Linked DNA regions of Mus musculus: all the other regions are reported to be linked to region 3. The links are microRNA targets in miRTarBase. Many come from high-throughput screens and were not tested one by one. Region 3 holds a microRNA gene; each other region holds the end of a gene's coding sequence.

The links. The annotated mature microRNA mmu-miR-26a-5p reads UUCAAGUAAUCCAGGAUAGGCU and lies in region 3 at 2,715-2,736, opposite strand. An mRNA with a match to its seed (bases 2 to 7 or 8) in the 3' UTR can be bound and repressed. Matches are read on the target gene's strand: a 7mer-m8 pairs with bases 2 to 8, a 7mer-A1 pairs with bases 2 to 7 and ends in A, and an 8mer does both.
Region 1: the mRNA of Hip1 is a reported target of mmu-miR-26a-5p. The part of its 3' UTR that is shown has no 7-base or 8-base seed match.
Region 2: the mRNA of Ubn1 is a reported target of mmu-miR-26a-5p. Seed matches in the 3' UTR shown: 7mer-A1 at 5,721-5,727.

The regions. Positions count from the first base shown.
Region 1 is chr5:135,405,303-135,412,492 of GRCm38, forward strand. It overlaps Hip1 (huntingtin interacting protein 1), which reads right to left. Exons shown (of 31, transcript NM_146001.2): 31 at 1,216-5,967. The coding sequence ends at 5,915. Among named protein-coding and RNA genes, the nearest start is that of Pom121, 14 kb to the left of the region's middle.
Region 2 is chr16:5,083,525-5,090,714 of GRCm38, reverse strand. It overlaps Ubn1 (ubinuclein 1), which reads right to left. Exons shown (of 19, transcript NM_026666.4): 19 at 4,426-6,659. The coding sequence ends at 6,610. Ppl (periplakin) reads left to right here. Exons shown (of 22, transcript NM_008909.2): 22 at 887-4,424. The coding sequence ends at 3,550. It also overlaps the pseudogene Gm52254. Among named protein-coding and RNA genes, the nearest start is that of Gm23483, 26 kb to the right of the region's middle.
Region 3 is chr10:126,991,089-126,998,278 of GRCm38, reverse strand. Mir26a-2 (microRNA 26a-2) reads right to left here and starts at 2,749; the gene lies at 2,666-2,749. It overlaps Ctdsp2 (CTD (carboxy-terminal domain, RNA polymerase II, polypeptide A) small phosphatase 2), which reads right to left. Exons shown (of 8, transcript NM_001113470.1): 2 at 6,603-6,748; 3 at 5,642-5,680; 4 at 5,170-5,271; 5 at 4,371-4,427; 6 at 2,332-2,424; 7 at 2,068-2,253; 8 at 1-1,918. The coding sequence ends at 1,793.

The sequences.
Region 1 (7,190 bases), not on the chromosome of region 3:
TCCGGCTTCTTTTTTTTTTTTTTTTTTTTTAATATTTATTTATTTAATGTAAGTACACTGTAGTTGTCTTCAGATACTCCAGAAGAGGGCATCAGATTTCATTACGGATGGTTGTGAGCCACCATGTGGTTGCTGGGATTTGAACTCGGGACCTTTGGAAGAGCAGTCGGCGCTCTTAACCACTGAGCCATCTCACCAGCCCGGTTTCCGGCTTCTTGCATGTGAGCAACAAGTGAGTTCCCTGGCTTTTCAGTGTGCAGCCAGCCACTTGGGGATTGTGTGACCTCTGATGATGCAAGGCAATGCAATGAATGCCCCCTTCAGATATCTTTTCTGCACTTTGATCCCTCTCAGCCAACATGGACTTTTGCCATTCTTCACTAAACCCCCTGGCCCCATGCTAGGCGCTCACTGTTCCAACCGTGCTACACCCCGTTTTCTAGGATACTAAAGCAGAGAACCACTGTGCAGCCCAGACTACTCTCAGATGTATAATCCTCCTGCCTAAGGTTCCTAATGACGGGGTTACAGGTCTGCATTGCTATGGCCCTCCTTCCTCGACACCCCTATTGTTTGCAATGTTGCAAACAGAACCCACAGCTCTGCTTGGTAGGCAAGCGCTCCACCATTGAGCTACGCTTTCAGCTTACAAACCAATGTTTCTCTAATTAAGTAAATAAAAATTAGTTATTTTTAAATGTGTGCACATACTCGTCTGACTATACACCAGTGTGTGCAAGCAGCTACAGAAGCTAGTCTCAGTGACCCTGGAACTGGCCTTACAGGCAGGTGGGAGCTGCCTGCTGTGGGTCCTGGGAACCTATCCAGGTCCACAGGAAGAGCAGCAAGTTTTAAGTGCCAACCTTCTCTCCAGCCCCTCTGTTTTTTGTTTTGTTTTAAATATTTGCTAAAAAGAAAGGAGAAGGCAGAAGCAGGAGAACCTCTGAGTTCAAGGCCAAGCTGGTTTACAGAGCCAGTTTCAGAACATCCAGGGCCACACAGAGAGACCCTGTAAATGTATATGTCCTATGGGTATATGTGTGCACCTGAGTATATGTATGCATACCACATATATGCAGGAGCCTGAGGTCAGAAGAGGTTGTCAGATACCCCAGCACCAGAGTGAAGGATTGTGAAGTGTCATTCTGACCCCATGTATATCAAAATGGAAACAAGAAGCCGGAGCCCAACCCTCAAGAGCACTCTGATCAGCCCTTTATCACCAGAGTTCTCCACAGCCAGGCTGACATATTTATTGGAAAAAATTGAAACCACAGATGCAATGCATTATACAAAGAAAGATCTTCATTCCATAATAAAAGTCCTGTGAGGAGGAAACAAGAGCCAGTGGCTACCTGCTCTGGGAAGGTAGGCACCTTGTGAGAAGTGAAATTCACTTATAGGGACTACTCTAATGGAAAACAGTGGAAAAGGTTAGAAACAGAAGGGGGCGGGCATAAACAAACAAAAATCAGCCCCATCCCTGCACGGTTTGAGAGTTTGTTATAAGCTTGAGACATTTAGGTTATCACCAAGATTTAACCAGATTCCTCGGTTTGTCCCTAGAGTGGTAATCAAGTTTAACTTAGGGTCTTCAAACCTGAGGTAGTTGAGGGTCACCTGAAACACATGTCTGGAAGGTTCTATCCTCACAACTGGATCCAGTCACGTCTAACCCACCATTCCTGGCTCTGGCTCCTGGGAGGGGAAGCACTCCATTACTGCTTTGCTGGTCGTGGGTTTGGGCTGGACCTGGGAGTCAAATAGCTCTTCTGCGTCACTGTGAATGCCTGGCAAGTGCTGTCATGGTAGTTTCCAATGTTACAGTGTGGTCTCTGAGAACCTGAAAGGTGGAAAGAGGGCAAAGCCCCTCTCTTTGGAAGGCCAATGTAGGGGATCCAAGATGAAGATCGACCGAGCAGAGCTCATCCTTGTTGGAAGCCAACTTGGAAGATGATCAAAGATGGGAGAGAGAAAGCAAAGCCCACTCTGGTTGGAAGGCTACTACAGATGATCCAAGACGGCAGAGGGCAGGGCCACTCTTATTGGCAGGTTAATGTTGCGCCCATAGACTTGCTTTTCTAGCAAGGTCTCCAGAGATATGGAAAGGCAACCGGGAGTAACACATTGGTCAGCATTAAAATTCAGGGTCAAACAGTGCCAGGGACCCTTCTACAACTAAGTCACTGACCAAGAAGTAAAAACTCCCCCAGACACAGGATGAGGACCAATACCTCCGATGATGAGAGGCCATAGCACCCTAATGTGACCAGAATGATAAACACTTGTGACCCTGACTTACCACACCAGTTCTGAGACAGGGTGCCCTGCATGTGTTTGATTCTCCCAGGGCAAAACAGGAATCTGAGGATAGTGCTGGGGACAGTACTGCAATAAGCCAGTTAAATTAGAGCCTGATCTTTGTTTTTGAGACAAGGTCTTAGTATATAGCCCAGGCTAGACCTGAACTCACATTCCTCCTGCCTCGGATTCCCAAATGCTGGGATTATAGTTGTGCATTGACAAACCTGGCATAACTATTTAAATTCCTTTTTGAGCTATGACCTAACCCCACAGAAGTAGATCTCCTATGCACACACTTATGCTTAGCCTTGGAGGCACCAGGAAACTGCATTATCTAAATATAAGTCACAGCTGGATTTGAGTTTCTTCCTCACCCCACCCTAAGTCATTATTTTGTCAATTTTCTGCCTTTAAAGTTATTTTTTTTTTCAGGAGTTATTTTCTCTAAAAGTATGTGGGCACTTCTGCATGAACGCATGCAGCAGATGCCATTGGATCCCTTGAGGCTGGAGTTGAAGGCGGTCGTGGTCACATGTGGGTGCTGGGAGCTGATTTGGGGGTCCTCTGTAAGAGCGGGGAGTACTAACTGCTGAGCTACCTCTCCAGCCCCTCAGCTCCCTTGAGGATCTAGCTACACCCAAGGCAGCAGCCTTCAGTCTAAGCAGCCTGGGGGTGTGGGGAGGAAGGCTGTGAAGTTCCTTTTGAGCTGCTCCTCAAGTGACTTGCACCTGTTCTTTCTGCCTCATCTGCCCTTGCAAGTGTCCCATGTCCCTCTGCACTGGGTGGCACCTTGCAAACCAGATGGTGAGAGTTAGTTAGTTTGATGTAGGATCTGGAGGGCAGTACCACTAGCTGAGGTCTTTCTTCTTACCCACCTGGAGGACTTTATCACGAATACCCTTTCCAACCAAACAGAAGCAAGTTTTATAGCCCAAGTCATGCCACTAACACTTAAGAGTGCTTAGAACTGTAATCATATGGGTCAGACTTCTCCTTGCCTCAAATAAAAACTGCTTTGGTGAGAGGAAAAAACAAAAGAATTTCCAGCTTGGTTTGACCAGCCACCAGTTTAAAGACTCACGTTTAGGTAGTAGCAGAGCCAAAAAAATTATGGTCTCAACTGGGTGAGATAGCTTACACCTTTGATCCCAGCATTTAGGAGACAGAGGAAGGGGAACCCCTGTGACCTCAGGACAATAAGGTGGACAAAGCTAGTTGGAGGCCAGCCAGGACTATGCAGTAAGACCCTGTCTCTAAAAGCCAGTTATATAAATCTCTATACACAAACATATATAACCTGTTTTAATTTTTTTGTTTGTTTGTTTTTTGAGATAAGGTATGTAAATTCAGGATCTTCCTGCCTCGGTCTGCTGAGTGCCAAGGTTACAGGTGTGCGCTAGCCAGCCTGGCTGTAGAAGGACAGCTTCCGACTCGAGCTATTACAAAGTCCCGATGTGACATGAAGCAGGTAGGGACCCTTCTGTGCTGCTGCCTTACCTCGAGCTGGGGCTTTTCACTGTTTCACTCCCCAGGCAGATTTTATTGGTTTTTTAAAAATGATAGTGGCTTTTCATATGGGTTCGTCATTTATTCAGAAAACCCCCATCTATTGCTGTGTTTGATGTCATCTCAATGGGACATATGAGAGTGACTCTAGAGACAAGGACTCTATGGCCACCGTAGGAAAAGCTGACTGGCAGTGAACACATGGACCAGCTGCATTGGCACAAATGAGCCAACAATGCCACTCATCCATCGAGTGTTCTGGTCCTTGGACCCAAAAAACATTGTTCTGGCACCAGAATGGGCCCGTTTCTACTGCAGAAAACTCCTTCAGCCCAGTGTGGAGGTCACATGTCACAGCCATCATCTGGGTCTCTGGGAGGTTTTGGAGTGCCCACCGGGGACAGAGTGGGGGTGAGTGGGGCAGGAAGGAGGAGGTTGATTCACAGTGATCAAGCACTAGTCTCACAACCCATCACCCAGCGAAGCTGAGCTCTGCCCCATGGGGACAGGCTCAAAGAAGTGCTTGCTGGCTGCCACCTATGTGTTACTACAGATAAAGAAGCCACCACCCCCCTGGCCCACAAGGTCACTTAGATCAGGGGTCCATTAGGGAGTTGCAAAGTGCTGTCCCTGCTTGTGGCTAGGCGTGGTGCCCCCTGTCCCCATCCTGTCTGCATGGGAGCCAGAGTGGGTGGGTGGTGATGGGGACTGTGCTAGAGCCAGTGGTCCCCTTTCTCCTCTGCCCTGCTCCTCAGTGCTTTAAGGAACCTGCCTGCTTTGGAATCCAAGCCTGGAAATGCCCAGGGATGGCACGTTAGCTCTATGATGATCTGTGGAGATTGATAGCGGAGGGCACGCCTGTTTAGTTACCCTTGGTCCTGATTGCTCCAAGCATCTCTGGGGCATGTGCTGCATAAAGATTGTTAGTAATAAATATAAAGAGTCTTAAACCGAGCCAAGCTCGTTTCCTGATCCAGTGGGCCTATTGGGTAAGTAGCACACGGAACCATTGCTTTCTGGTTCAGTAGGATGCAGAAGCAGGCAGACGGAGAAGGAACCACTTCCGGTTCCTTTATATTTGTCCCTCTTGGGGCCTTGTCTAGGTTTGACAGGAGGTGACCCAAATGACATGGCACAGGAAGTTCGCTCTGGGGATGTAGTGTTGCTGTTCCACACCGGCTCCATTCTTGCAGGTGGTGGGTTGAGCCTGGTGACAGGAGCTCCTAAGAAAACGTCCCCTGAACAGCTGGGTCCCTGGCACCATCTGCTTTGTCTTCAACTCTGGTGCTCCCCGGCTTGTGATGGTGGACAGAGGCCTTGGGCTGGCATCCAGGTCAGAAAGTAAAGGCACTAGCTCAGCCTCAGCCTTCCAAGGAGAGCTGTCATCCTGGGGAGTAGCCTTGGCTGACGGAACTGCCGAGCTGGAGCACCAAAGCGTAGCCTGAGCCGCACCGGGGTGTGCTGGCGCTGTGGGGGGGCTTCCTCTCAGAAGGCTCAGAGCTCAGGGTCAGGCTGGGTGGGGGAGGAATCCTTTTTGGGAAAGTTGGTTGTGTGAAACTTTAAAAACGGGAAACCAAAAGACCCAAACGACCACCTATTAAGATGCAGTTAGAGGACCCATCGAACTGCCAAAAAGTGTAGTGTGGAGGCCAGCTGTCCCTTCGTGTTCTTTCCAACAGTGGAGTCGGACATCAGTCTGGGTTGGAATCCAGCGGAGTTTGGATGCTCACAAGTTTGTGCAAAGGACAAAATGCAAAGGACTGAGGAGGGGGAAAAAGAAAAGACGTAAGCTGTCCCCTCTCCAAGCTCCCAGTGACAAGAAGCCCCTCTAAGCCGGACATGGCCTGTGAGGAAGTGGCCATGTTGCTGTTTTTCTGTGGACCTGAGCTTGCTCGTGGCTGACCCTGGTCTGCCTGTGTGCCAGGGATATAGGGGAAGAGCCCATCATGCATGCAAACGGAGGTGGTGTCATGGGGAGACCCGATGGCCTTCAGCTTTTGTCACTGGAGAGGCCTACAAGGACCTGATGTGCCACAGTGGGGAGCGAGTGTCACAGAAGGGTAACAAGGATTTACATTCTGATGTGTGGGGTGTCGGCTTGGCTCTACTCTTTGTCCGGTATTGCTTCTTGGACAGTAGACGGTGATGCTTCTGTCCCTAGAAACAAAAACCAAACAGGTGACACAGAGCCTTGTGCATACGTGCCAATAGACTGTCGGCACGTGATCCTCTCCACCTCGTGACTGCCGTAAGTGTCCTTGACTGTGTTCAAGAATAATGTAAGGCTCACGACAACGAATATGTGCTTAGTCGGCAGGGTTTGCCAAATGCTATAACCAACAACGGTCTTCCCTGGGATGGACATAACCACTTTTGCCATGCAGAAAGCCACACATGGCAGCAGGCCATGGCAGGGCCTGGGTTGGGACAGAGCACAACTCTCAAGAGTCAGTATTCTCCTTCCACCTTAGGTTCAGGGACCAGACAGGTAATCAGAATTCACTGGAATATTCTAGTCAAGTGCTCTACTGCTAAGCTGTGTCCCAGCTCCCAAGTGGAGAATTCTAGGTCAGCATTGCACAGCCCAGCAATATCGCTAAGCACTGTTTTACTTCCCAGTTTTTTTTTTAAAGATTTATTTATTTATTATATGTAAGTACACTGTAGCTGTCTTCAGACATTCCAGAAGAGGGAGTCAGATCTCGTTATGGATGGTTGTGAACCACCATGTGGTTGCTGGGATTTGAACTCCAGACCTTCGGAAGAGCAGTCGGGTACTCTTACCAACTGAGCCATCTCACCAGCCCACTTCCCAGTTTTGAAAGAGTTTAAGTTGTTAGGTTGGCCCTGAATTCATTTTGTGGAAGTTTACAGCAAACTTTCAATGCTTCTTCTGTCTCAGACTCCAGAACAGTTGGGAGGAGAGACATGGGCCACCAGACCCAGCTCCAGGGCTGGTCTGAATATTCTTGCATCCCATTTCTCCAGGTAAGCCTGTTCACTTTTTGGCCAGTGTGGCCTTGTGTGTAGGTGGATATGTGTGTGCATACATTTGTGTGTGTGCGCGAGCGCATGTGCATACGGGCACGTGTGTGTGCATGTTGAAGGTGGTGGTAGTCCAGTGTTAAGGGCACTAGCTGCCCATCCAGAGGACCCGAGCTGGAGTCCCAGAGCCTACAAGGCGGCTCACAACTGTGCCCACACCCAGGGGAAAGCATCTTACTTATCAAAAAGGTTTATAAAATTCAATTTTTTTGGTTTGTTTTTGGCTATGTGATCTGGGGTGTTCTCCAATTTCTAGTCTTCCTGCCTCTGCCTCCCCTGTGCTAGGTTCAGAGGTGTGCACCACCCAGGCGAATGGCTGAGGGTTTGAAGGGTAA
Region 2 (7,190 bases), not on the chromosome of region 3:
ATCACCTGGTGCTTCACCAAAACATATACCTAAAAAAAAAAAAAAAAAAATGTCTCCAAGGACAACAGACATCCCCTAGGGACAGGGCAGAGATGGGAAACTGGTGTCACTTCAGACTCCTCTGTGCCTACAAAACATTTTGCCTTATTCAATTTTTAAAAGCTTTAAAAAGTAACCCTAGAGCATTAGTGGAGGGAGACCCCAGAAGATCAGCCCATCCTGGTCTGGGTGATCAGACCTGTATCTATCTTCTCTCTCTCTCTCTCTCTCTTTTCTCTCTCTCTCTCTCTCTCTCTCTCACCATTTTATTTGCTTCAAATTAATGAATTTCTAAGTCAGGTTCAGGTAACACTGAAGGCCTTTATGAGGAGTTTATATTGTCTAGACCCAAGATATGCTGCAAACACAGTCTGATCAAGTAAAGTAGGAAATAACATTTTTCTAAAGACAGGCTTAGAAGCTGAAATCCAGTAATTGAAGATGTTTCCTCTCTGTGGCAGTGAGCTTGATTCATACCTGGCAGCAAGGCCCCATTCAGGGTATAGCCAAAAGGGCAGGGTACAGACCACCCAGAACAAAACCAACTAGTGCGCCCCATGTTGTGGTACAGGGTTCACAGTTCAAATCACCTGTCTGACTCTGGAAGTTGTTTAGTTTTTCTGGACATGATATTAAATATTAAATCATCTTTGCTAGTAATTGGTTTCCAACTTTCCATCTTGGACCACTCGGCAGAATGATGGCAGCTTATGGCTGCCTCCCCAGCTGCCTGTGCTTGCCCAGGTCCTCCCGTGCCCAAGTCTACCACAACCTTCACTAGGGTTGCCTGGGCTCCACCTCATCTGTTTGTTTCTTAACCATGCATTCGTTGTCTTTTCTGCCACAGCAACCAGAAGCAGGAGTGACCCATGAGACCCTACAAGGGGGAAAGCTAAGCTCTGGCATGGAGGAAACATGGAAGATTAAGAAGGAACTGGAGGAGGAGATAGAGCGAAGGCAACAGCTGGAAAATGAGGTCAAGAGTGCCCAGGAGGAAATCCAGACCCTGAAGGATCAGGGGCCTCAGGAGTCATTGGTGAGGAAGGAGGTGCTGAAGAAGGTGCCAGACCCTGCCCTGGAGGAGAGCTTCCAGCAGCTGCAGCAGACGCTGGCTGAGGAACAGCACAAGAACCAGCTATTGCAGGAGGAGCTGGGAGCACTGCAGCTCCGGCTGCAGGCTCTAGAGCAGGAGACCAGGGATGGGGGACAGGAGTATGTGGTCAAGGAGGTCTTGCGCATTGAGCCAGACAGAGCCCAGGAGGATGAGGTCTTGCAGCTTCGGGAGGAGCTGGAGGCACTGCGGCGCCAGAAAGGCGCCCGAGAGGCTGAAGTGCTACTCTTACAGCAGCGTGTAGCAGCCCTGGCTGCTGAGAAGAGCAGGGTGCAGGAAAAGGTCACTGAGAGAGAGGTGGTAAAGCTACAGAATGACCCCCAACTGGAGGCAGAATACCGGAGGCTGCAGGAGGAGCACCAGCGGGAGGGCACACTCAGGGAGAAGCAGGAGGAGGAGCTGAGTTTCCTACAGGCTAAGCTCAGGAGACTGGAGAAAGAACGAGCCATGGCAGAAGGCAAGATCACTGTCAAAGAGGTGCTCAAGGTAGAGAAAGATGCAGCTGTGGAGAGAGAAGTCAATGACCTCACCCGCCAGTATGAGGACGAGGCTGCCAAGGCACGCTCTGGCCAGCGGGAGAAGACAGAACTTCTCAGAAAGATATGGGCCCTGGAAGAGGAAAATGCTAAGGTGGTGGTACAGGAGAAGGTCCGAGAGATCGTGCGGCCAGATCCCAAGGCAGAGAGTGAAGTGGCCAACCTCCGCCTGGAGCTGGTGGAGCAGGAGCGCAAATTCAGGGGTGCTGAGGAGCAGCTGAAGAGCTACCAGAGTGAGCTGGAGGCCCTACGGAACCGTGGACCACAGGTAGAAGTCAAAGAGGTGACCAAAGAGGTCATTAAATATACAACTGACCCAGAGACAGAGCAGGAACTCCAGAGGCTCAGGGAGGAGATCATGGACAAGACCAGGTTAATAGAAAGGTGTGACCTAGAGATTTACCAGCTGAAGCAGGAGATCCAGGCCCTTAAGGACACCAAGCCACAGGTGCAGACTAGAGAGGTAGTCCAGGAGATCCTGCAGTTCCAGGAAGACCCCCAAACCAAGAAGGAGGTAGAGTCTCTGCGTATACAGCTGTCAGAAGAACAGAAGAAACAGGTGGACCTGGAAGGGGAGCGGGCATCCCAGGAAGAGAAGATCAAACGCAAGGAGGAAGAGCTGGCACAGGGGAAGGAAAGGGTTGTACGCCAGGAGGTAGTACAGTATGAAGATGAGCCAGATTTGCGAGCTGAGGTGACTGCCTTCACAAACAGCATTGATGCTGAGCTGCGGCAGATTGATAAACTGCATGTGGAGCTACGGCGGTTACAGCATCGCCGAGCAGAGCTGGAGAGGCAGTTGGAGGAGCTGGAGCGGGAGAGGCAGGCACGTAGGGCAGCCGAGCTGGAGGTACAGAGGCTGCAACAGCGGCTGGCTGCATTGGAGCAGGAGGAGGCCAAGACTGGTGAGAAGGTGACCCACACACAAAAGGTGGTGCTGCAGCAGGACCCACAGCAGACCAGGGAGCATGCCCTGCTCCGAGCCCAGCTGGAGGAAGAGCGGCACCGGAGGCAGCTACTGGAGGGTGAGCTTGAGCCGCTGCGTAGAAAGTTGGCTGCCCTGGAGAAGGCAGAGATCAAAGAAAAGGTGGTCTTCTCTGAGAGTGTCCAGGTAGAAAAAGGTGACACTGAGCAAGAGATCCAGCGCCTCAAGAAGAGCCTGGAAGAGGAGAGCCAGAGCAAGAGGGAGCTGGATTCAGAGGTGACCCGGCTAGAAGCCAAGTTATCTGAGCTAGAATTCTATAATTCCAAGTCATCCAAGGAACTGGACTTCCTGAGAGAAGAAAACCACAAGCTACAGCTAGAGCGGCAAAACCTGCAGCTAGAGACCCGGAGACTCCAATCAGAGATTGAGATGGCAGCAACAGAAACTCGAGATCTGAAGAACATAACCACGATAGACTCTGGGACCCACCTAAACTCTAGGCTGTGGTCCCTAGAGAAGGAACTGGATGACCTCAAGAAGATGTCCAAGGACAAGGATCTGGAGATCGATGAACTACAGAGGCGCCTGGGCTCTGTGGCTGTCAAGAGAGAGCAGAGGGAGAACCACCTGAGGCGCTCCATAGTGGTCATAGACCCTGACACAGGTCGTGAGCTGTCCCCAGAGGAGGCTCACCGGGCTGGGCTTATCGACTGGAAAATGTTTGTGAAGCTCAGAAGCCAGGAGTGCGACTGGGAGGAGATATCAGTGAAAGGTCCTAATGGGGAGTCATCAGTAATTCATGACAGGAAGTCAGGCAAGAAGTTCTCCATTGAGGACGCTCTTCAGAGTGGCAGGCTAACCGCTGCTCAATATGACCGCTATGTCAACAAGGATATGTCCATTCAGGAGCTGGCAGTCTTGGTGTCTGGGCAGAAGTAGGCCCAGCCCTTCTTCCTGGCTTTTCTTGGAGCTGGATTATCTTAAAGATGGAGATGGTTAACTCATTCTCAGCAACTTCCTGGGTGTCTTCTGCTCCCGAGCCTTCATATAGACTTCTGAGCTAAGTGTTTTATCCACATTGTATCAGGCTGCTTACAGTGCAGCTACTGTAATACCAGCAGACACTAGCTGGGTAGCATCTCTCAGCTCAGCCTCATCCAGTCTGAGTGAGTGACCTGCTCCCACCTCTGATGACTTAATAACCTTTCTGCCTCTTTCAACTCAACAAGACTGGTCCACTGGGGCTGCTGACCTTCCTTCTTGCCATTCCATTTTTCTGACTGGGATCAAACTATCAACAGTGCCTGCTCAGTAGTGACTTTTCTCATTGAACAGGGCTCTACACTAGAACATGTGTCCAGAATCCACAATGCCTGGCTCTTGGTGCTAGAATAACTAGCCAGGATGTGCCAGAAAGACAGGCACCAACAACAGTTTGCTAGTTCTGAAAAGATCTTAGTAATGGATGGTGTGCTAGCCTTACTTTCAGTGCCTTAGAAGTCTTCATCATTATCGCATTGGCATTTAGATATACAAAAGTTGATTGTTCACCAAACAAATTTCTGCTTCTCTGTATTTCATGTATTATGTAAGAAAATGGGAAGTGATAGGGAACTTTATGGCATGAAAATAAAAATCTGGTGGCTTGACTCTAACTCACAGCAAGTATGACTCCTTTACATATGAGCCTGAACCTTGGCTCTCAGCCACAATGGGCGGGCATTCCATGAACACCAGGGCTCCTATGTACTGAAGAATAATAAAATAAATAAAATATTGCAAATAAAATAGTAATGAAAAAATGAGGAAAGACATCTTGGAAACCTCAAAACAATTTATTGAGTTGCTTTATACAAGATTAACAATTTCCACACCACCCCCTAACACCAACATAGTTGCGGCACAAAAGCCCCTCTCACACCTAAGAAACGGCCACGCCTGGTTAAGTCTCAGAACCTTGCACCCACCAAAGAAACCCTTGCATCCCACTGAGCTTGCTCTACCTCCACCCTCTGCTGAAGCCGGGCCATAGGTCTCCCTGGCCATGGCTGTTAAAGTCATTCACTCGTTCATTACCACAAATAAAGCATAAACAAGGAAAAGAAATCTCATAAACTCCCCATCAAAGAAACATTTCCCTGAGGCAAGAGGCATCACTAGATTCCTAAAGATGAGGGCATCCTGCTCTAGCTGCACAAGCAGTGGCACATGGGGAGGAGGGAGCACCAAAGGGGTGGGGTGCTAGGGCCCGCTGTCTGACGGGCAGAGGAGCCTGGAGAGTTCCCACTGCTCAGCTTTGCTGGCGGCCTCAGCTTGGCTTAGAGCTCAGCTATACAAATCTCTTCTTTGGCTCTTTTTGCTACTACCTAAGACTATTCTGTAAACAAACTGGAAATCCAAGTTGCAAAAAAATATATGTAATAAAAGGATAAGGAGTCCACATGGCCAATGTGAAAACAATTGGTTCTTCCATACAAAAGGAGTCAGAGCAAAGGCCAGACCAAAGAGCTGACAAAGGTCCTGCTCCCAGTAAGGTGGAAAGGTGGCCACCTCCACAGGAATAGAGGGCTACTGAGCTCCATACCCTTGAGGCAGGAACCAAAAGCACACTTGACCCACCCTAGGGTGCATACCGAGAGTGCTGATCACCTCCCCAAATGTGGTCTGGCTAGGCAGTCAGCCAAACCCACTGCGAGGCAGATTTATAGGATAGGAAACAGCCCTCCGAGTCCATATGAAATAGCCACTGGGTAAGTGTGACAGCCTGATGATGGAAGCTCTGTAGTCAACTATCTCTGTCCTCTGTCTACTCTCCAGACCCTCTGGACATCCCTCCTAAGTCTACACAGAAGCTCGCTGTGCAGAGGACACCAGCACCCCAGACCTGTTCTCTGTGGCAGATGCTTCAGAGAGAACTGTCCTACAGCTCTGCCAGAGAGAGATTTCTAAGAGTAAGACAAAGTGGAATGTCTACCTGTAGCTTAGAACCCCTGGGCTCTCAGACACAGAGGGCTGAGGGGCTCCACTGTAGTCCACCTGCATCAACTCTACAAAAACAAATCAGAGCTGGGAACCTGGGATTTGGGGGGGCTTGGGGGCTCAGATGACTTTCAAGTCAAGACGGCACAGGTTATGGTGTGCAGTCATTAAAAAACCCAATTAAATAAAACTGTCTTAAATACAGACTAGCTTTAAAAAAAGATCTTCATCTCAGATCCATTCAGTGGGCTGAATGGATAGGTGTGAGTTGTCAAAGTCTGCTCCACCAAAAGGCACTGGAATTAAGTCTTCCTATAATGTGATGTGTGAAGAGCAGTCCCATTCTATCCAACGCATTCAATGGTAATGACGAAAACAGCCCAAGATAGGTGTCTTTAAAAATCCTACCACGATTGTTGAATCTATAAAGATCTTTTTCTCTATAAGAGCTTCATTGTCATGTTCTGAGGAGAAACTGGCCCCTACAAGGAGCACACATTATGTGTTCTTAGTATTTTGCAAGGTCCCCCACATGCGGCTCTGGCCTGGGTATTGTCCTCTTGAGTACACAGCCTGAGGATGGGACGGAATCACAACCATCCAGGGATTCTACTGTGGCCAGGAGACCCTGACCAGTAGGGAACTCCGAGACACACCAAATGCCAGGAGTTAGGCAGATCTAGAACCCAGTGGCCAACAGATCTGCCACAGGTACACATGTACACTATACTTCCCAACACAGTCTAGGTACACTTCCCAGCACAGAGCTGCCCCTTGATGTCGTCCAGCGACAAAGCCATGAGGCCTAGAGCACCAGGTCAGTAAGCGCTTTGTGAGCAGCAGAAGCTGCCTTGGTTGGAGGCCCATCTGAAGTGCTAAGAAGTGCTCCATTTCAAACTCACGCCTGCTCCAGAAGAAAAGCAGTGGGCATGAAGAGCACAGCAAATGTCTGTTATCAGAGACATACATGTTGGGCTTCCTCCTAGACCTATGTCATTCAGTTCCATCCTCCAAAGTGGTCACAATTTCCTCGGTACAACAGGCCCTTTACCATGAAGCTGTGAAGCATCTGGAAAAGAATAAGTGAAATCAGATCATTCTTTAAGTGCTCCAATTCCTTTTAGACAGCATAAACAAACTTCACAGGAAACAGAAGCAGCAATGTCCCCCGACAGCAGCTGTGTGCATTGCTACTTGCAGCATCCTGTGTCATGCATGAGCACCAGCACTTCTCAGGCAGGAGGCCATTGAGCCCGTTTACAGAACAGGCACTCTGCAACATGACGACCACACAGAATCCAGACAATGTTCATTCTCTTGCCATCAAAATGTACTCAGGTATCAGAGGTACAAAGACAAAGGTAAGCATCAAATCCACATGGAAGGGAAAGCAGAACGGAAGCAAGCCTCAGCTCACTGCTAGATAGAGTACTCCCTGACAGCCCTACAGAGCCCCACACTGTAGCACAGCTCAAAATGAAGTTCAGTCTGCTAGCCCATTTTGCATGGATGCTCTTCTGACTGCCCCATAGTTTTTCTCTTTCTCCTTGAGGTACTGGTAATGAGACAGGGCTTTATATATGCTAGGCAAGTGCTCAAC
Region 3 (7,190 bases):
AATTCAATCAACTCTGAGGCTCTTATTGCTTAGTCAAGACCAGCCCTCAGAGCTTTGTGAGAAGACCCCTCCTGCAGTATTGGGATGCCAGTGAGATCAGGGTCTGGACCTGAAGCCACAGTCAAGCTCCCATGTTCCTGGCTAGCACCTGCAGCCCTCAGCTCACCTTGGGAGGACCCTACAGACACCAGCAAATGAGGCTGGGGAAATGGCATGTGTTTGTCACAGAAGTGAAAGCCAAGGCTCCATAGCCTCGGGCCCAGGAAGAAGTCTGCAGAGTGCTGGAGGAATGCCAGCCAGTCTCCACTCACACCACCACACTCCTCCACCAGGCTTTCTCAAACCCCAGGCAGGACCTCGTGTGTGGAAACTAGAAAAATTTGAAAATATTGACTCCTGAGTGGGAGGTACCACACCTGAACCAACCCACAAACGCTGGCCGGCCTCCAGGGGAAGCAGAGATGGGGTAGGAACTCCCGCCCACCTCGGAGGGAGGCAGGGAGTGGGCGGGACTCACTTAAGGCAGTGAGGTGGAGGCCCCTCAGGGGCCCCTTGTGTTCCCAATGGTAGCTTTCCACTTTGGGGAAACTTCCACTCTGTGACTGACATTGAAAGCAACAGGGCTGAGAGCTCAGAGCTGCCCAGAGCACAGAGCTATGAGGACCTCACTCAGTCCTATAACGAGAAGCAGGAGGCATTTGGCAAATCAAGTAAGAGCAACACTTGGGACAACCAATCAATTAAGTACAACCGGGGAAAGTCCTTCTCCCAAGGCTCTGGAGAGGAAGAGCAGCAGCCGAGAAGGATAAAGGCGAGAGCAGACGAGAGCTGGCCAGGGCGGGACACCAGGAAGACACAGAGGGAGAGCCAAGCCCTCCCCAGCCTTTGGAGCTAATGTCCTTGCATCAGCTAGCACAGAACCCCTGAAGAGCACTTTTGGGATCTACACGCAAGGAGACAGACATCTTGCATTGAACATTTGCATTTTCTTTGTACCCCAGCGCTTCCCACACAAACCTCAGGCCCAGGACTGGAGCTCGGGCGAATATAAACCACTCCAAGTTTAGAAAGAGATTTTTAAGAGTTAAAAGAACAGAAATCAGCTATATGTCCTCCTCCAGGGCAGAGAGAAGACCTCCTTTCCCATGGGAGTAGGACTATGGCTTGGGAGTGAGAGGCTGGCCTGGCACTGGAGCCCGGGTACAGAGAAGTGCCCATGGCAGGCATTCTTGCTGGAGCCAGGTGTAGCCCATAGGACACAGAACCTGGTGGGTCTGCGAACATGCTCTCATATTCCCAAACATGTCTGCAGCTGCTGGCTAGGTTTCTGTGTTTTCTGAAAGATGTGTGTCTGGGCATCCAAAGCAGCCTCCGGCCTCTCCCTTCTCCTTGGCACAGGTCTTGATGCTGAGGGAAAGCCATGGTTTGGCGAGGGAGCCTACAATAGTTTTCATGGCTGTAAAGCTCAGTAGCTCACAGCATAGCAGGAAAGAAGACAAATGACTTGGGTTGAGTCCTTATCTTTCAGCTTCTCCCCCTACTGCACAACTGGGCACCCAGGACCATAGTTTACCGGACGGGCACATGCACGCACACACACCCACACAACCACCTGGGAACTGAGCACGGGGTGCAGAGAGCTCTGGGTCTTGGTCTGATTTCCTGCTCTGCGTGTGACCTGCTTTTGTCCCACACGCCCTGGCTACTTGCAGACCCCGTCAGTGAGGCTGACCACAAAGGCACAGTGTAGCAGAGTCCCCTGTTGGGATGGCCGTTTCTTGGAGCAGGAAGGCTAAGGGGCCCGCAGCTGCCCAAGGCTGGTGTAGACATCATCAGTTCCACTTAGCTCCTCGAAGACTGGAATCAGGTTCAGCAACTCTGTATCTGCCATGTCATCAAACCAGGACTGCACAGGCACCTGGGGCAGGAAAAAGTGACATTATCTGATATTTCCTTTCCTTTCCAGTGCCATTGGAGGCTGCTGGGCCACACAGGGGTTGTGGACTCCTCTGATAAAGCCCACGGGCCCAGCCTGCAGCCACCCCAGTCCCTGATGCGAGCACTCACTGCATTTTCTGGGTGGAAGATGTAAGATGCAGGGGAGTTGTCCAGGATGACAGTTTTCCTCAGGTCCCTTCCCAGGCGGCTGAGGTCCTTGACATAGCAGCCCTGGTGGAACACACAAGCCTCTCGGAACAGGCGGGCCCGGAACACCCCGCACCGGTCCAGGAGATCAGTCACAGGGTCAGCATACTGGAAAAGAAGGAGAAGCTTTAGCCTAGGCTGAGGGCTGGCTCTCCCCTGCCTTCTGCCCCTCCTGCAGTCAGGTACCTTGGCCAAGCTGGCAGTGAAGAGAACACATTCGAAGAGCTCCCCCATCCGTCTCAGGAACTCATCGACGTAAGGCCTCTTGAGCACATATACCTGGGAGACAGAGTGGATTGCTGTAGGAACCCCACAAGGCCAAGGACACAGCACCGGCTCTGCCTGTGCACTGACAGAAAAGCAAGCAGGCCTAGATACCCAGGTCGAGACACTGAGACCTCTGCCCCACCATGGACAGCTCTACCATGTTACCAGGCTTCTGCTGCCTCAACAGGCCCAACCCTAACCCGGCAGGAAGGAATGCACTCCCAGGAGCCATCTTCATTGAGGGCAGACCATGCGCTGCCTCCAGAAACAAGTAATCAAGAACAGGCCTCATGGACGGACACAGCCTATCCTGGATTACTTGAATCCAGCCGCAGCCTCCACAGTAGCCTTCTGTACGGGATTCCAGCAGGACGGCTTGTGTAGGTCCCATCTGGCAAGAACCACAAACTTCTTCAAACACACACCCTCGTAGGTTTGTGTGCACACCACCAGCTTCGAGGACTTGCTCGCTTTTAAAGGTTCTTCAACTAACTCGCCACCCAGTCTATGATCTGCTGCTTCTTCTTTCTTTCTTACTTCAGCCTGCACAAGTGTTCCTTAGGCCCACTCACTCACTTCCTTAAAGCAGCACAGGGGGTGTGCCCACCCCAGTCCCTCCTAGCCCACATCAGCACCAACTGAGCAGAGCCCTCCCATTTAGCAGCAGAACCCTCCATGCAGCTGCAAATGGATCTATCCATCACCTTCCACTTCTTAAGCCTCACAAACAAGCCCCTTCCTCACCAAGCATTGCTCTCCTCCCAGGCTCTCCTCAGATCCACATGGCAGGCAGCCCTCTCACTCAGGCCCCTTCTGCCCATGCCAGAGCCCCATACATTCTGTACATTTCTATTTCCTCAACTAGACAGCAGGGGGTGATGGGTGGAGTAAAGAGCCACAGCTTCGAGGCTCTGTACAGAAGTTCGTAAAGGGGCAGAGGGCTACGATGACAAACCCAGGACAGTCTCAAGCTGAACTTTCTCAGTCTGAAAACAGGTCTCATGCTTGCTAGGATGTCTGCATCACTGTCTCCGGCCCTCCCCTGGGCCGACCAGCATGCCTCTGGGCACATGGTCTCTCACCAATGCCTCGTGGTCCTTAACCCTAGGCAGCAGGGTGTACACGGCAGAGCCTGGACTCTGCCACTCTGACAGATGCATATGGAGCACTTACAGAAACCAGTGTAGAGGTCAGAAAGGTGTCATAGGAGGGGCCTGGGCCAGGGAAGACACATTCAGTAGCTCTTCACCAGAGGGCACAGGAGCAAATCCTAACAGCCCTGCACACAGAGCAAGGCTCGCCTGGTCTAAGCATGGACTGCATGGGCTGGACAGCATATGCTCTTCATTGAGGAGCTGGGTTCAATTCCCAGCAACCCCTGGCAGCTCACAACTGTAACTCTGGTTCCAGGGGATTCGACACCCTCACACAGACACACACGCAGGCAAAACCAGTAATGCACATTTAAAAAGCCACAGTGATGGCTAGGACTATGATGTGAAAATGCCAGGGGCTGCACACAATGGTGAAGGCCTTTAATTAACTCCAGCCCTCTGTGAGGTCCAAGTCAGCTAGAATTAAATAAAGAGACCCTATCCTGGGCTGGAGAGATGGCTCAGTGGTTAAGAGCATTGACTGCTCTTCTGAGGTCCTGAGTTCAAATCCCAGCAACCACATGGTGGCTCACAACCATCTCTAATGGAATCCAATGCCCTCTTCTGGTGTGTCTGAATACAGTTAAGTGTACTCATATACATAAAACAAATAATTCTTTAAAAATATTTTTAAAAAAGCCAACAGTTCTTGCAAACAGCCTGACTACATAGAGACAGGAGTGTTGGCTAGAGGGAAGTGTGGATGATCTGGAGACAAGCCATCAACAAACATGGAAGCTGATGATAAACAGGTTGAGAGGCAGTTTCCCTTTGAGGCAGGGTGTATGCTGGCAAACAGCTCACCTGGTGCGTGGTCCCCTCAATCTCTACAGGCACTATGAAGTCAGCATTGTTGATCGGCTAGAAGGCAGAAGTGCACAGTGTCAGCAGACAGGAAACCCTACCCCCTGGAGACAGCCCACTGAGCAGTTCTTAGCCAGCACAGGGCAAAAAGTATCACATATTTTCCGGTTTCCCTTCTCCTTCATCCACCCATCCATCCTACCCACCAAATTCTACCTGAGGTAAGTTTCAGGGCTTTTGAGATGGGGTCTTGCTACATAGTCTGGGCTAGCCTTCACCTCCTGCTCTCATGAGCTATGCACACAGGCATGCATGCCTGGCTCTTTGGGCTAGCCGTGTTCATCTCCTGTTTCCGTGAGCTATGCACACAAGCATGCATGCCTGGCTCTTTCAAGACTGACTGGCTCTTACTGGGTAACTCATGTTATTCTGGAACTTGTGATTTCCCTGCCTCAGTTTCCCAAGCACAGGGATTGTGGAAGTTCCCTCTGCACCCAACTTAAGGCTTTCTTGAGTTAACAAACGCACCAGTCAGGAAAACCAGATAATGCTTACCTACTTTTTCCACGGTAAGTCGAGACAGACACAGCATTTAGGGTGGGGTGTGTGTGTGTGTGTGTGTGTGTGTGTGTGTGTGTGTGTGTGCCTTAACCTCTTCAGTTTGGCCTCTGGGTATCTGTGACTCCAGGGTGGCCGACAGCCTGTCCTGTCCCTGTCATTTCCACGTTCATCTGCTCACCTTACTGACCCTGCTGTGCGGCTCACACAGGCCCAAGGGAAGGGTACCACGCTGACTCACCTTAAAGGAACTGTGCACAAGGGTCTCATCCAGGTCAATGACCACGCAGATCCTGCCTTGATCTTGCTCTGTCACCTCGGGGAGCAGGCAGGTCCCAGGGATCTAAAAGCAGAGCCAAGCTGCTGAGCTGTGCCCAACAAGAAGTAAGCCCAATCGCCCCTCAGCACAACACTGGGAAGAGCCAAGCTGCCTGCAGACAGTCATCAACACAGGAAGGTCCTGCTTAAAAGCAGAGAGCAGAGGCAGCGGGGTCTAAAGACTACTAAGGCTGTGGGAACATTTGGTGTCATTCTGGGATGGTAGGGAGTAGACAGCAGAGATGGGAAGAGGGTGTGTGCCTGTCCCGAAAGTTTTACAGGGCCCTGGCAAATACTCAGCACAAAGAGTGGGGAGGTGCTCAGGACAGGAGAGTAACTGCTCTGCCTGCCTGCCAGGCTAGTCAGGGCCTACAGGGTCAGCCACCTCAACGAACCTGATAAAACTGGTACTGGAGACACTGGAGGAGATCGGACTGTGGGAGACAAAGGATGTGGTAAGTGTTAATTTATCAACTACAGCCTTTCTAAGCAAAACACTGCCTGTGATCTGCTCTCCGAGAACCCAGCCACCCACCGCTCCCCACAGGACAAGCACGGCCTTCCTGAGGAGCTGGTCAGGAGGGGAAGCCGCCTCTCCACACATGGCTCTCAGGGACTGAGGTCTGAGCTCCTCCCTGCAGGGCTAACCTCTTGCCCTCTCGGGAAACACTGAGGTGCCCATGAATATGAAGGGGGGTGGAGTCACAAAGGGACAACACCAAAAATGTTGTAAGAAGTACTAATGTCCTAATGTGAGACTTGAAAAAAAAATCTAAAATTCCAGAACTTACAAAAACCTAAGATGTTATCTGAGCATGTACCTTTCAAAAATGGGCTAGTATTTCCCCAGGGTAATATATGATTTTACATTTTGCTTTTGACTTACAAGTGGTTCATAGTAGCATAACAACAAATTGCTAGTAGGGTCTTTGTTTGTTGCTGTCTTTGTTTTGAAACAGGGTTTCACTACATAGCTCTGGCTGGCCTGACACTTGCTGGCCTTAAACTCAGAGGGATCCACCTGCCTCCTGAATGCTGGGTTATTCAGAGCCTGGCAGTTTTATGGCTCAGAGGCAGTTCTGGAAACAAGACAATAAAAACCACAGGCTTCACAGCCAGATAATTGAGTTCCAACCCCACCACTATCAACAATTAACAAGCGGTTCACTTTCCACATCTGCAGGGCACCTTTCCGGAGCCATGGAATCTGCAGTGTCTGGACAGCCATCCCCACAGATGATAAGTATCAAGAAGGAGACAGACTACTAAGGGCAAAGAGTTAAGGGCCCCTGGGCCAGGGACTTTCACGACACTAGCCCAAGCCAGAATATGCACCACACCCCATCCTGCTGCTACCTTGGCGATGGTGTTGGCCTCCTCCTTGTGTGTGAGCTCAGTGGAAGAGCTGGACTGGACAACATGCTGTGTGTGGAAACAGCACAAGAGGGCCTTGAAGATGCTGCGGCCACGGGGTTTCTTAGGCGAGGACTTGGAGACTAGGCCTAGAGAAGAAAGGAAGGACAGATGGAGGCATTAGCTACAGGGATACTGTCAGTCTCCACATGTCCATACGCTCTCAAGTCTAGGTTCTGCAGGGGTACAGCACACACCTGCTGAACAGCCTCTGAGAGTGACACACACCATATATAGAGCACACACCTGCTAAAGAGCCATACACACTGACAATGGAGCGCGTGCACACACCCTTGCATGAGGACACAGTGAACCCCACTCTCTGGTTGGGGGAGATCTGAGCTGCCCAGGCTTCGTTCTTCATGCTATGGCAGGTCTCAAGGGGATCTCAAGGTAGGCCGGGTGTTCTGTGACCCAGCACCAGCACACTGCCATCAAAATGAGCTTCTGAGGCCCTACGTTCTCCTGACACAGGAGAGCAACTCGGTCCCCTGGAGTCAGTGGAGCCATGATTCAGATCAGTGTCGCTTC